Arabidopsis thaliana: one gene and its partner. The protein of the gene in region 1 interacts with the protein of each later gene in a biochemical or structural test. Each region holds a gene or a part of one and is shown in the gene's direction. Other genes may lie near its edges.

Region 1 (6,180 bases):
TGGCCATGGGGAGAAGTCAATCTTTGTGGTATACTGTATTTACTCACTACTCATACAAAATTGCAAATTAGTCTGATTTCGATTGGAATTACTTGTTGAGCGGTCAAATAACTTGACGTTCAAGAGAATACAGAACAAAATTCATACAAAACAGATATAAGGATTAGTGGTAGTGAAAAGAAGAATTTACATAAAGAATTATTTAAAAATATTGGGGCCAAAGGAATCATAACCTCTCATGCCACTAAACCACGAGCTAATTGATGTTGTTTCTTTTGTGGGGCTTTTTCTCTATTACTCTCCACTATTCGGTCCTTTATTTATTAAACAGAATCAATAAAATATACTCTATAGTCTTCAACAGTATGATATATTACAAATTTATAACACACAAAATCACACTATAGGTGATAAGATTTGCACTATTAATTGCAATGGAAAAATGTTCTAAGAATAATTATTTCTTACTAGAAACTATTGATCTTAAAGAAATAGTCTCTTGTGCAATTGAATGGTAGCTAGGGTATAACCAATTGAAACATTTTAAAATATGACTTGTGTATATTTTTTTCTTTAATATGTGTATATGATTATTTATCAATGAACATTTCAAAATAGCATTTTCTCGTTGGCTGAAATAATCAAGCTAATATTTTGCTTAAGTCATACAAATCTACTCATAAACTTGGTGGAAGAAGGCAGTGTAATGATGAAAAGGATGGAGTGTGTGACATGGAACATGATATAAAGGCTCATCTATGGCATATTATATGAAACTAAACTAATTAAAATCACATAAAAATGGAAAAAGAAGTGAGCAACATTATGGTTACACCTTAAAGTTTGTTATTGTAATTTGTAAAGTCACTTCTCTGTTCATTCCCCCACGCCTCTGCCTCGACAGTGAACATTGGATCAACCAAATTTTACAAAAGACCATTTCATATGCGATGCATATTATGACTAAATTGGGTCCCAATTATTTTGACCACACACCCCACCATATGAAATATTTGTATATCGGTTTGGAATAATTTCTCCCAAAATTCCTTTCAATATAATTGCCATTCTTTTGTAAAAGGTTTTGTTTTTTTTTTAAATAAAGTATTAATACAATACACAACAAAAACAAAACAAATTATCCCAAAATTCCAAACTTGATGTGATTATAGACTAGAATTTCTATTATGTTCGTTTTTATTAGTGTTGTCACTATATCACTAACTATATTCATATTCAGTTGCTTGTCAATTATTTTTTTTTGCCAGTCTTAGATTTATTATTTATTGCACTGTTACATAGACGATTCTACAACGGACAATTCCTTCCGACTCTTATTAGATCTAGTTGCTTGTCATCTAATATTTAAATTATTTTAAGAAATGTTATACAACTAATATTTAAATCATTTTAAGAAATGTTATACAACAATAGTATATAGCTAAATTTTTAAATGGAAGTTTATATAATACTACACTTTTTCTTCATTGAAATTTGTGAAACATCTCATAGATACAATTCCCATTTAGAAAATTAGCAGTGATCATAATTCTTTCTAAGGTTCAAAATCCCCACATGGAGCTTTAATGAATTAAAATTATGAAACCATTAGAAACAAATAGATATAGGACTAAATGAAACTGAAAACATATTTTTCTAAATATTAGAGTTTTATTCTATAAACTGAACTTAATTTTTTTGATTATCAAACAACATGTATTCTATTAGATTAATAATGTCACTTACACAAATCACTACAAGTCATGATCACAATTCCACAAAATCATAAGATTGATCATAACCATTTAATAAATCAATCATCTATTAGAAAAACATCATATGTAAAAAAAAACGATTCGACAAAGATGTTTTAAAAATAATAAGCATCAACAATTAATAAAACTTAATAAATTACCTAAAAGCAGCTTTTTCTTTTCTTCAAAAAAAGCCCTTTTTCTTCCTCTGCTTTAGCATCGTCTCTTTATCATCTAAATGTTTCAACTTACTTACTTCTCCTTCTCCATTCAAACTCAAAAAACCTCCCTCCAATGACTACTTCACCAATCCGGGTTCGGATCCGGACTCGGATCCAAATCTCCTTCATCTTCCTCCTTACCCATCTCTCACAATCTTCCTCCTCCGACCAATCTTCACTCAAAACCGACTCATTATCACTCCTCTCTTTCAAAACAATGATCCAAGATGATCCAAACAACATTCTCTCAAACTGGTCACCTCGTAAATCCCCTTGTCAATTCTCCGGCGTCACTTGTCTCGGAGGAAGAGTCACCGAGATTAATCTCTCCGGTAGTGGCCTCTCCGGAATCGTCTCCTTCAATGCTTTCACCTCTCTTGATTCTCTCTCTGTTCTCAAACTCTCAGAGAACTTCTTCGTCTTAAACTCAACCTCTCTTCTTCTTCTTCCTTTAACCCTAACTCATCTCGAACTCTCTTCCTCCGGTTTAATCGGAACCCTCCCTGAAAATTTCTTCTCCAAATACTCAAATCTTATTTCCATCACCCTCTCTTACAATAACTTCACCGGAAAGTTACCTAATGATCTTTTCTTAAGCAGCAAGAAACTCCAAACCCTTGATCTTTCTTACAACAACATTACCGGTCCAATCTCCGGTTTAACCATTCCTCTTTCTTCTTGCGTCTCCATGACCTATCTCGATTTCTCCGGTAACAGTATCTCCGGCTATATCTCTGACTCACTCATCAACTGCACCAACCTCAAAAGCTTGAATCTTTCTTACAACAACTTCGATGGGCAGATTCCAAAATCTTTCGGTGAGCTTAAACTCTTACAAAGTTTGGATCTTTCTCATAACCGACTCACCGGTTGGATCCCGCCGGAGATCGGAGATACTTGCCGGTCATTACAAAACCTCCGGCTTTCTTACAACAACTTCACTGGTGTGATCCCTGAGTCGTTGTCCTCATGTTCTTGGCTACAAAGTCTTGACCTTTCAAACAACAACATCTCCGGTCCGTTTCCGAACACTATCCTCCGGAGTTTTGGATCTCTTCAAATCTTACTTCTCAGCAACAACTTAATCTCCGGTGACTTTCCGACTTCAATCTCTGCTTGTAAGAGCTTGAGAATCGCTGACTTCAGCTCGAATCGATTCTCCGGTGTGATTCCACCGGATTTATGTCCCGGAGCAGCTTCATTAGAAGAGCTAAGACTCCCGGATAATCTCGTCACCGGAGAGATTCCACCGGCGATATCTCAATGCTCTGAGCTACGAACGATTGATCTCAGTCTCAATTATCTCAACGGTACAATCCCACCGGAGATCGGAAACCTCCAGAAACTCGAGCAATTCATAGCTTGGTACAACAACATCGCCGGAGAAATCCCACCGGAGATCGGAAAACTACAAAACCTAAAAGATTTGATCCTCAACAACAATCAACTCACCGGAGAAATCCCACCGGAATTTTTCAATTGCAGTAACATCGAATGGGTCTCATTCACAAGCAACAGATTAACCGGAGAAGTGCCTAAAGATTTCGGAATCCTTTCCCGGTTAGCCGTTCTTCAGCTCGGTAACAACAATTTCACCGGAGAAATCCCACCGGAGCTAGGAAAATGCACAACTCTGGTTTGGCTTGATCTTAACACAAACCACTTAACCGGTGAAATCCCTCCCCGGTTAGGTCGTCAACCCGGTTCAAAAGCACTTTCCGGTTTACTCTCAGGAAACACAATGGCTTTTGTTAGAAACGTTGGAAACTCATGTAAAGGTGTTGGAGGTTTGGTTGAGTTCTCAGGGATCAGACCAGAGAGGCTTCTTCAGATTCCATCTCTTAAAAGCTGTGACTTCACAAGAATGTATTCAGGTCCAATTTTGAGTCTATTCACAAGATATCAAACCATTGAGTATCTTGATCTTTCTTATAATCAGCTTAGAGGTAAAATCCCTGATGAGATTGGAGAAATGATTGCTCTTCAAGTTCTTGAGCTTTCTCATAATCAACTCTCCGGCGAGATTCCGTTTACGATTGGTCAGCTCAAGAATCTCGGTGTTTTCGATGCTTCGGATAATCGGTTGCAGGGTCAAATCCCTGAATCTTTCTCGAATTTGTCTTTCTTGGTGCAGATTGATTTGTCGAATAACGAGTTAACTGGTCCGATTCCTCAGAGAGGTCAGTTAAGCACGCTTCCGGCGACTCAGTACGCGAATAATCCGGGGCTTTGCGGTGTTCCTTTACCGGAATGTAAGAATGGAAACAATCAGCTTCCTGCTGGAACAGAGGAAGGGAAACGTGCTAAGCACGGAACTAGGGCAGCTTCTTGGGCGAATAGCATTGTTTTGGGAGTGTTGATTTCCGCTGCTTCGGTTTGTATTTTAATCGTTTGGGCGATTGCGGTTCGTGCGAGGAGGAGAGATGCGGATGATGCGAAGATGCTTCACAGTTTGCAGGCGGTTAATTCCGCCACTACATGGAAGATAGAGAAGGAGAAAGAGCCGTTGAGTATTAATGTAGCGACGTTTCAGCGACAGTTGAGAAAGCTTAAGTTTTCGCAGCTTATCGAGGCGACAAACGGATTCTCAGCCGCGAGTATGATCGGACACGGCGGATTCGGTGAGGTTTTTAAGGCGACGCTTAAAGACGGGTCTTCCGTGGCGATCAAGAAGCTCATTAGACTTAGTTGTCAAGGAGATCGAGAGTTCATGGCAGAAATGGAAACCTTAGGGAAGATCAAACACCGAAACCTCGTACCGCTCTTGGGATACTGTAAAATCGGGGAAGAGAGATTGCTTGTTTACGAGTTTATGCAATACGGAAGCCTCGAGGAGGTGCTTCACGGACCAAGAACAGGCGAAAAACGGAGGATTTTAGGTTGGGAAGAGAGGAAAAAGATTGCAAAAGGAGCAGCAAAAGGACTTTGTTTCTTGCATCACAATTGTATCCCTCACATAATCCACCGCGACATGAAATCGAGCAACGTGCTTCTCGATCAAGACATGGAAGCAAGAGTTTCAGATTTCGGAATGGCGAGACTGATCAGCGCATTAGACACACATTTGAGTGTAAGTACCTTGGCAGGCACGCCAGGTTACGTACCACCAGAGTATTACCAAAGTTTCAGATGTACCGCAAAAGGCGACGTGTACTCAATCGGAGTAGTGATGCTCGAGATCTTAAGCGGGAAAAGACCAACGGATAAAGAAGAGTTTGGTGATACGAATTTAGTAGGTTGGTCGAAGATGAAGGCAAGAGAAGGGAAACACATGGAAGTGATTGATGAAGACCTTCTAAAAGAAGGTTCTTCGGAGTCTCTGAATGAGAAAGAAGGTTTTGAAGGAGGAGTGATTGTGAAAGAAATGTTGAGGTATTTGGAGATAGCGTTACGGTGCGTTGACGATTTCCCATCAAAGAGACCTAATATGTTACAAGTTGTTGCTTCGTTGAGAGAACTTCGTGGAAGTGAAAATAATAGTCACAGTCACAGTAACAGCTTGTAACAACATGAAGATCTCTGTTTTTTTTTGTTTTTCTGGCTTTTTCAATGCATTTTTTTTTCCTGTGAGAATGTGTATGTGTGGTTGATCAATGATTAAAATTTCATGATGTATCAAGACTTAATTAATGTAATTTAAATTCTGATTCCTTTAATAAATAACTATGCAGATTATAACAAATCAGAGTCTTAGTTGGTGAATTGTTCTTTATTACCGAGTGTCGTTAGCTCAATTGGTAAAGACCGTAAACGAAGCTTAGAGAACGCCGATTTGAGTAACGCTTGAAACGAAACTAATATTACACGATGTGGTTTCGTGCATGAAAGGATTACCGACATTGGCCCAGAACTTCCTGGTATTAGAAAAAAAAAAAAAAAAAAATTGTTCTTTATTAAACGCTCGAATACACACGATTAGGCTTTGGATAGAGAACATACAAATGGGCTCAACAACTGAAGTTTCAAAATTATATTTGGGCCATAAAGAACTATTTAGAATATAGAAACATTAGGCCCATAATGACTCTTTCTCCTTCAGGCCTATGAACATCTAACACTATAAGACTATACATTCGTGAGTAGAATATTTTTTTTTGTGAGAATAGTATTTCAAACCACAAAAGAGAATATATTTCAATGTGTTACTTCATTAGTATGTGTGAATTTATACTTGTTGATGTGAATCAAGTAGGTGGTTGTCTAGT
Region 2 (4,178 bases), on another chromosome or scaffold:
GATGTTTCGATGTGTTGGTAGAATCTGATCGTGTTCTTAGTCGAGAGTGGTTGATTTGCCTCATAAATTTGTTTGATGCTGTGGTTAAATCCATATTTAGTTGGTACTTCGGTTTTCCCTTTGCTTGAGTTGCTGATTTTTGTCTCTTCCGATTCGATAGGTCAGATTGTTTTTTTACTTCTACTGAAGTTTCCAGAGGATAATCAGTTTTTGATACTTGTGAATCTGTATCTCTGTTGTCTGCTGGGTCTTATGTGTGCTGATGTCATATTGAATTTAAGACTTTGCGTTTACGCGAGCTCATAAATTCCAATTTATTCCTTAGCAAGTCTCAGACGCCACCACCACCTTTTGGTCAGATCACACAAAATCTATCTATAGTGGTCAATTCTTTTTCCTTTCGTCGTATATAGTCTCTGATGCTATCCTAAGTTGACTTGGTATACTTGGATTAAGCTGTGAAGCAACATGTTCATGTTGCGTACTAATCTCACCAATCATTGAATCAAAATGATTAAAAAAAAATGAACTATGTGTGTGTAGGGCGTCAGAGTACCCAGAGGAGTATGATGGTGGCTACGTTCAGATGAGATTATCTTACAGCCCGGCGGCTCATCTCTTTCTCTTCCTTCTTCAGTGGACTGATTGTCATTTCGCTGGCGCTTTGGGCTTGCTTAGGATCCTTATTTATAAGGTCTCTTATTAATTTTCCTGCTGTTTTATTGCTACTGGATCTTCAAGATCACAATGTTCTTGTCTGCCTGATATGTGATTCTCTGTTTTTTATTTATAGGCATATGTTGATGGGAAGACCACAATGTCGCTACATGAACGCAAAACTAGTATCAGAGAATTCTATGGTAATCTGTTAATCACTTATTCTCTCTTAATCTAAAGGTATAAGATTAGACCAGACGATATGTTTTTTTCTGACTAGCAATGGATGTTGTTGGGCAGATGTGTTGTTTCCTTCGCTATTGCAACTTCATGGAGGGATCACCGATGTAGAAGAAAGGAAACAGAAGGAGATATGCGACAAAAGATACCGTAAAAAGGACAGAACAGATAAAGGAAAGATGTCGGAGATCGATTTGGAGAGGGAAGAAGAGTGTGGAATCTGCTTGGAGATTCGAAACAAAGTTGTTCTTCCTACGTGCAATCACTCCATGTGTATAAACTGCTACAGAAACTGGTATATAAAGCTTTTCCTTCTTTTCACTCACTCTCACCATTCATCAGCCTTTTTCTTACAAGTTATAGAATCTCTTGTTTGGAATAGGCGTGCACGGTCACAGTCGTGCCCGTTCTGTCGAGGCAGCTTGAAAAGAGTGAATTCTGGTGATCTATGGATATACACTTGTAGCGCCGAGATTGCAGATTTACCAGCGATTTACAAGGAGAATCTGAAGAGGTTGTTGATATACATTGACAAGTTGCCTCTCGTTACTTCTGATCCAAATCTTGTCCCTTATGCTCCTCTTCCTCGGTGAACATTACATTCTCTCTGTTTCTTGTTATGCACATAGCAATTTCTTTCAAACAAATTTCATCTATTTATGTCCACTTTGTATATAATATTTATGTGTTTTTAGTTGGTTTTTCATCTTTCTATAGTCTCAGATTTGGGTTTGTATATAACAACCATTGGTTATTGACATTTAGATCAAAAATTCGATATCATATTTGCTGATTAAGGGTACTTAATCACATTTTGGTTCGTTTAAATTAGTATCTGTCTATCTGACTATGAATTACAGTAACCGATTGGTGTTTCAGTCAAACCGACTTGTTTTGATCGTTTTGGGGAGTAATTTGGTTTCGGTATGGATCGAATTGGCTGAACCGGAAACCAGCAATTTGAGTGAAGCACAAGACCGCAGTACACGTGGCTTCTTCTAACTGGGGTAAGAAATTATTTGACCCAATCAGATTGTACCTCATCTAGATTTTATTGCCAATGGACTTGAAACATCACCAGATAACGCAGAGTTTAATAGATAAGATTAGTAATCCTACTCACCGTCAGATGGATTTGTGAATCGATCCAACGGTCATAATCGTCTTTCCAAGATAGGCCAGCTCCGAAACTCACCTCCACGCATCTATAATCGTGTATCAAGAAACGGATCTTTCTTCTCTATCTTCTGAATATCACAAAACCCAATTAGCCGGAGATGGCCGCAACATCCGCCGCTGCTGCAGCTGCTTCTTCCATCATGGGTACTCGGGTGGCTCCCGGTATCCATCCCGGTTCAGGTCGGTTCACAGCCGTGTTCGGTTTCGGAAAGAAGAAGGCAGCTCCCAAAAAGAGTGCCAAAAAGACGGTGACTACGGACCGGCCTCTTTGGTACCCAGGCGCCATTTCTCCTGACTGGCTTGATGGTTCCTTGGTTGGAGATTACGGTTTTGATCCCTTCGGTTTAGGCAAACCGGCCGAGTATCTTCAATTCGATATCGATTCACTAGACCAGAATCTGGCTAAGAACTTGGCCGGAGACGTGATCGGAACCCGTACGGAAGCTGCCGACGCCAAATCGACGCCGTTTCAGCCGTACAGTGAGGTGTTCGGAATCCAGAGATTCAGGGAATGCGAACTCATCCACGGACGGTGGGCGATGCTCGCTACTCTCGGCGCTCTCTCCGTCGAATGGCTTACCGGCGTTACATGGCAAGACGCTGGCAAGGTAACGCCACTCCCTTCTCCACTTGGATAATCGGTTATAAGTTAGTTATTTCGAAGATGCTAATAAATTAGTATTCAAATAGTTGCGTTTGCGTTTGTTTGCGACTCAGATAGAAATGTATGTACAATTTAGTTGATTTAGCGTTTGCTTTGGCGTCTGTCTCTCTCTCTTTCTTACAGTTTGCGTTAGCATTGGACTGTTTGAGTTTCTGTTCAGTCAAGAATATTCAAGTCTAGTGTTCAATGAGTGATATTTAAATATTAGTTGAAATGTTGTTATTCAATCAGGTGGAGCTTGTAGATGGATCGTCCTACTTGGGGCAGCCATTACCTTTCTCGATCTCGACATTGATATGGATCGAGGTGTTAGTGATCGGCTACATCGAGTTCCAGCGCAACGCCGAGCTTGATTCGGAGAAGCGTTTATACCCCGGAGGCAAGTTCTTTGACCCGCTAGGTTTAGCGGCTGACCCGGAGAAGACTGCTCAACTTCAGTTAGCTGAGATCAAGCATGCACGTCTTGCGATGGTCGCCTTCTTGGGATTCGCGGTTCAAGCGGCTGCAACAGGTAAAGGTCCACTCAACAATTGGGCTACTCACCTCAGTGATCCACTCCACACCACCATCATCGATACCTTCTCCTCATCTTAAAATCATTATCATGTGAGATTCTATTTGTAACTTATGTAAAAACAGAGCTATGATGATACTGAATCGACTTTGGGCTTTTGCTTGTTTGGTTTATTTACATGTTTGGCCCATGACATTAAATTGGGCTTCTCCTTATTTACTATACCTACTCGTCGTACATTTTCAAAATGTATTTTTGTCGCATATACAGATTGGCCCAATAGCAGGAGTACAAGACCGACCCATTAGTTATGTTGTGATTATTTTTTCTTGATTTGGACAATGAAAAAGGAGAACCGTACAGAAAAACAAATAAGTCCACAGACAAAAAAAAAAAAAAAAGGATAGTCACACACCGCGTGGGATTTGGATGAACATGGGAGACTTGTCTTGTGAAGTCTCCTTGAAATTGATTCCGTGTCTCACTGTCACTGTTCCGTAATTTGGGAGGACATTGAATTATTATTTTTGTCGTTGATTATGACACATAACAAGCAGGTTCAATTACTAGTTTAGGAAAAAAAAAAAAGCAGGTTCAATTACTTGCTCGTATGCACTGAAGAAACAACCACAAAAAATGTTTTCAAACTATTGAACGTGGAGATTCGATGAATTGATTGTAATTCTAATATTCTTTTGAAGAAAAATATTCATTGAGGAATGAGGTTCGTCATAATCAATTATGAATATAGAATTGGCTGGTTCAACGATCAAAAATGGATAATCCGGACAATATAACAAAAATGATGACGTTAAGCAAAACATACAGTAATTTTATATAAAAAAATCATAACTGTATGAGTAATCTTTGTGACGTTACAAAATACTAATTTTAATTTTTTTGATAGTATGACTAATCTGTGTG

What was found. The genes of interacting proteins can lie anywhere in the genome.
Region 2: the proteins of BRL2 (region 1) and LHCB4.1 form a complex in vitro, tested with the Arabidopsis thaliana proteins (one study listed by BioGRID).

Annotation. Positions count from the first base shown.
Region 1 is NC_003071.7:440,105-446,284, reverse strand, and holds BRL2 (BRI1-like 2), read left to right. Parts: upstream 1-1,960; 5' UTR 1,961-2,048; coding exon 2,049-5,480; 3' UTR 5,481-5,661; downstream 5,662-6,180. UniProt on the Arabidopsis thaliana protein: Receptor with a serine/threonine-protein kinase activity, which may transduce extracellular spatial and temporal signals into downstream cell differentiation responses in provascular and procambial cells.
Region 2 is NC_003076.8:206,910-211,087, forward strand, and holds LHCB4.1 (light harvesting complex photosystem II), read left to right. Parts: upstream 1-1,956; 5' UTR 1,957-2,174; coding exon 2,175-2,684; intron 2,685-2,971; coding exon 2,972-3,334; 3' UTR 3,335-3,639; downstream 3,640-4,178. Other genes in the region: AIRP2 (RING/U-box superfamily protein), read left to right, coding at 544-694, 794-860, 958-1,192, 1,280-1,490.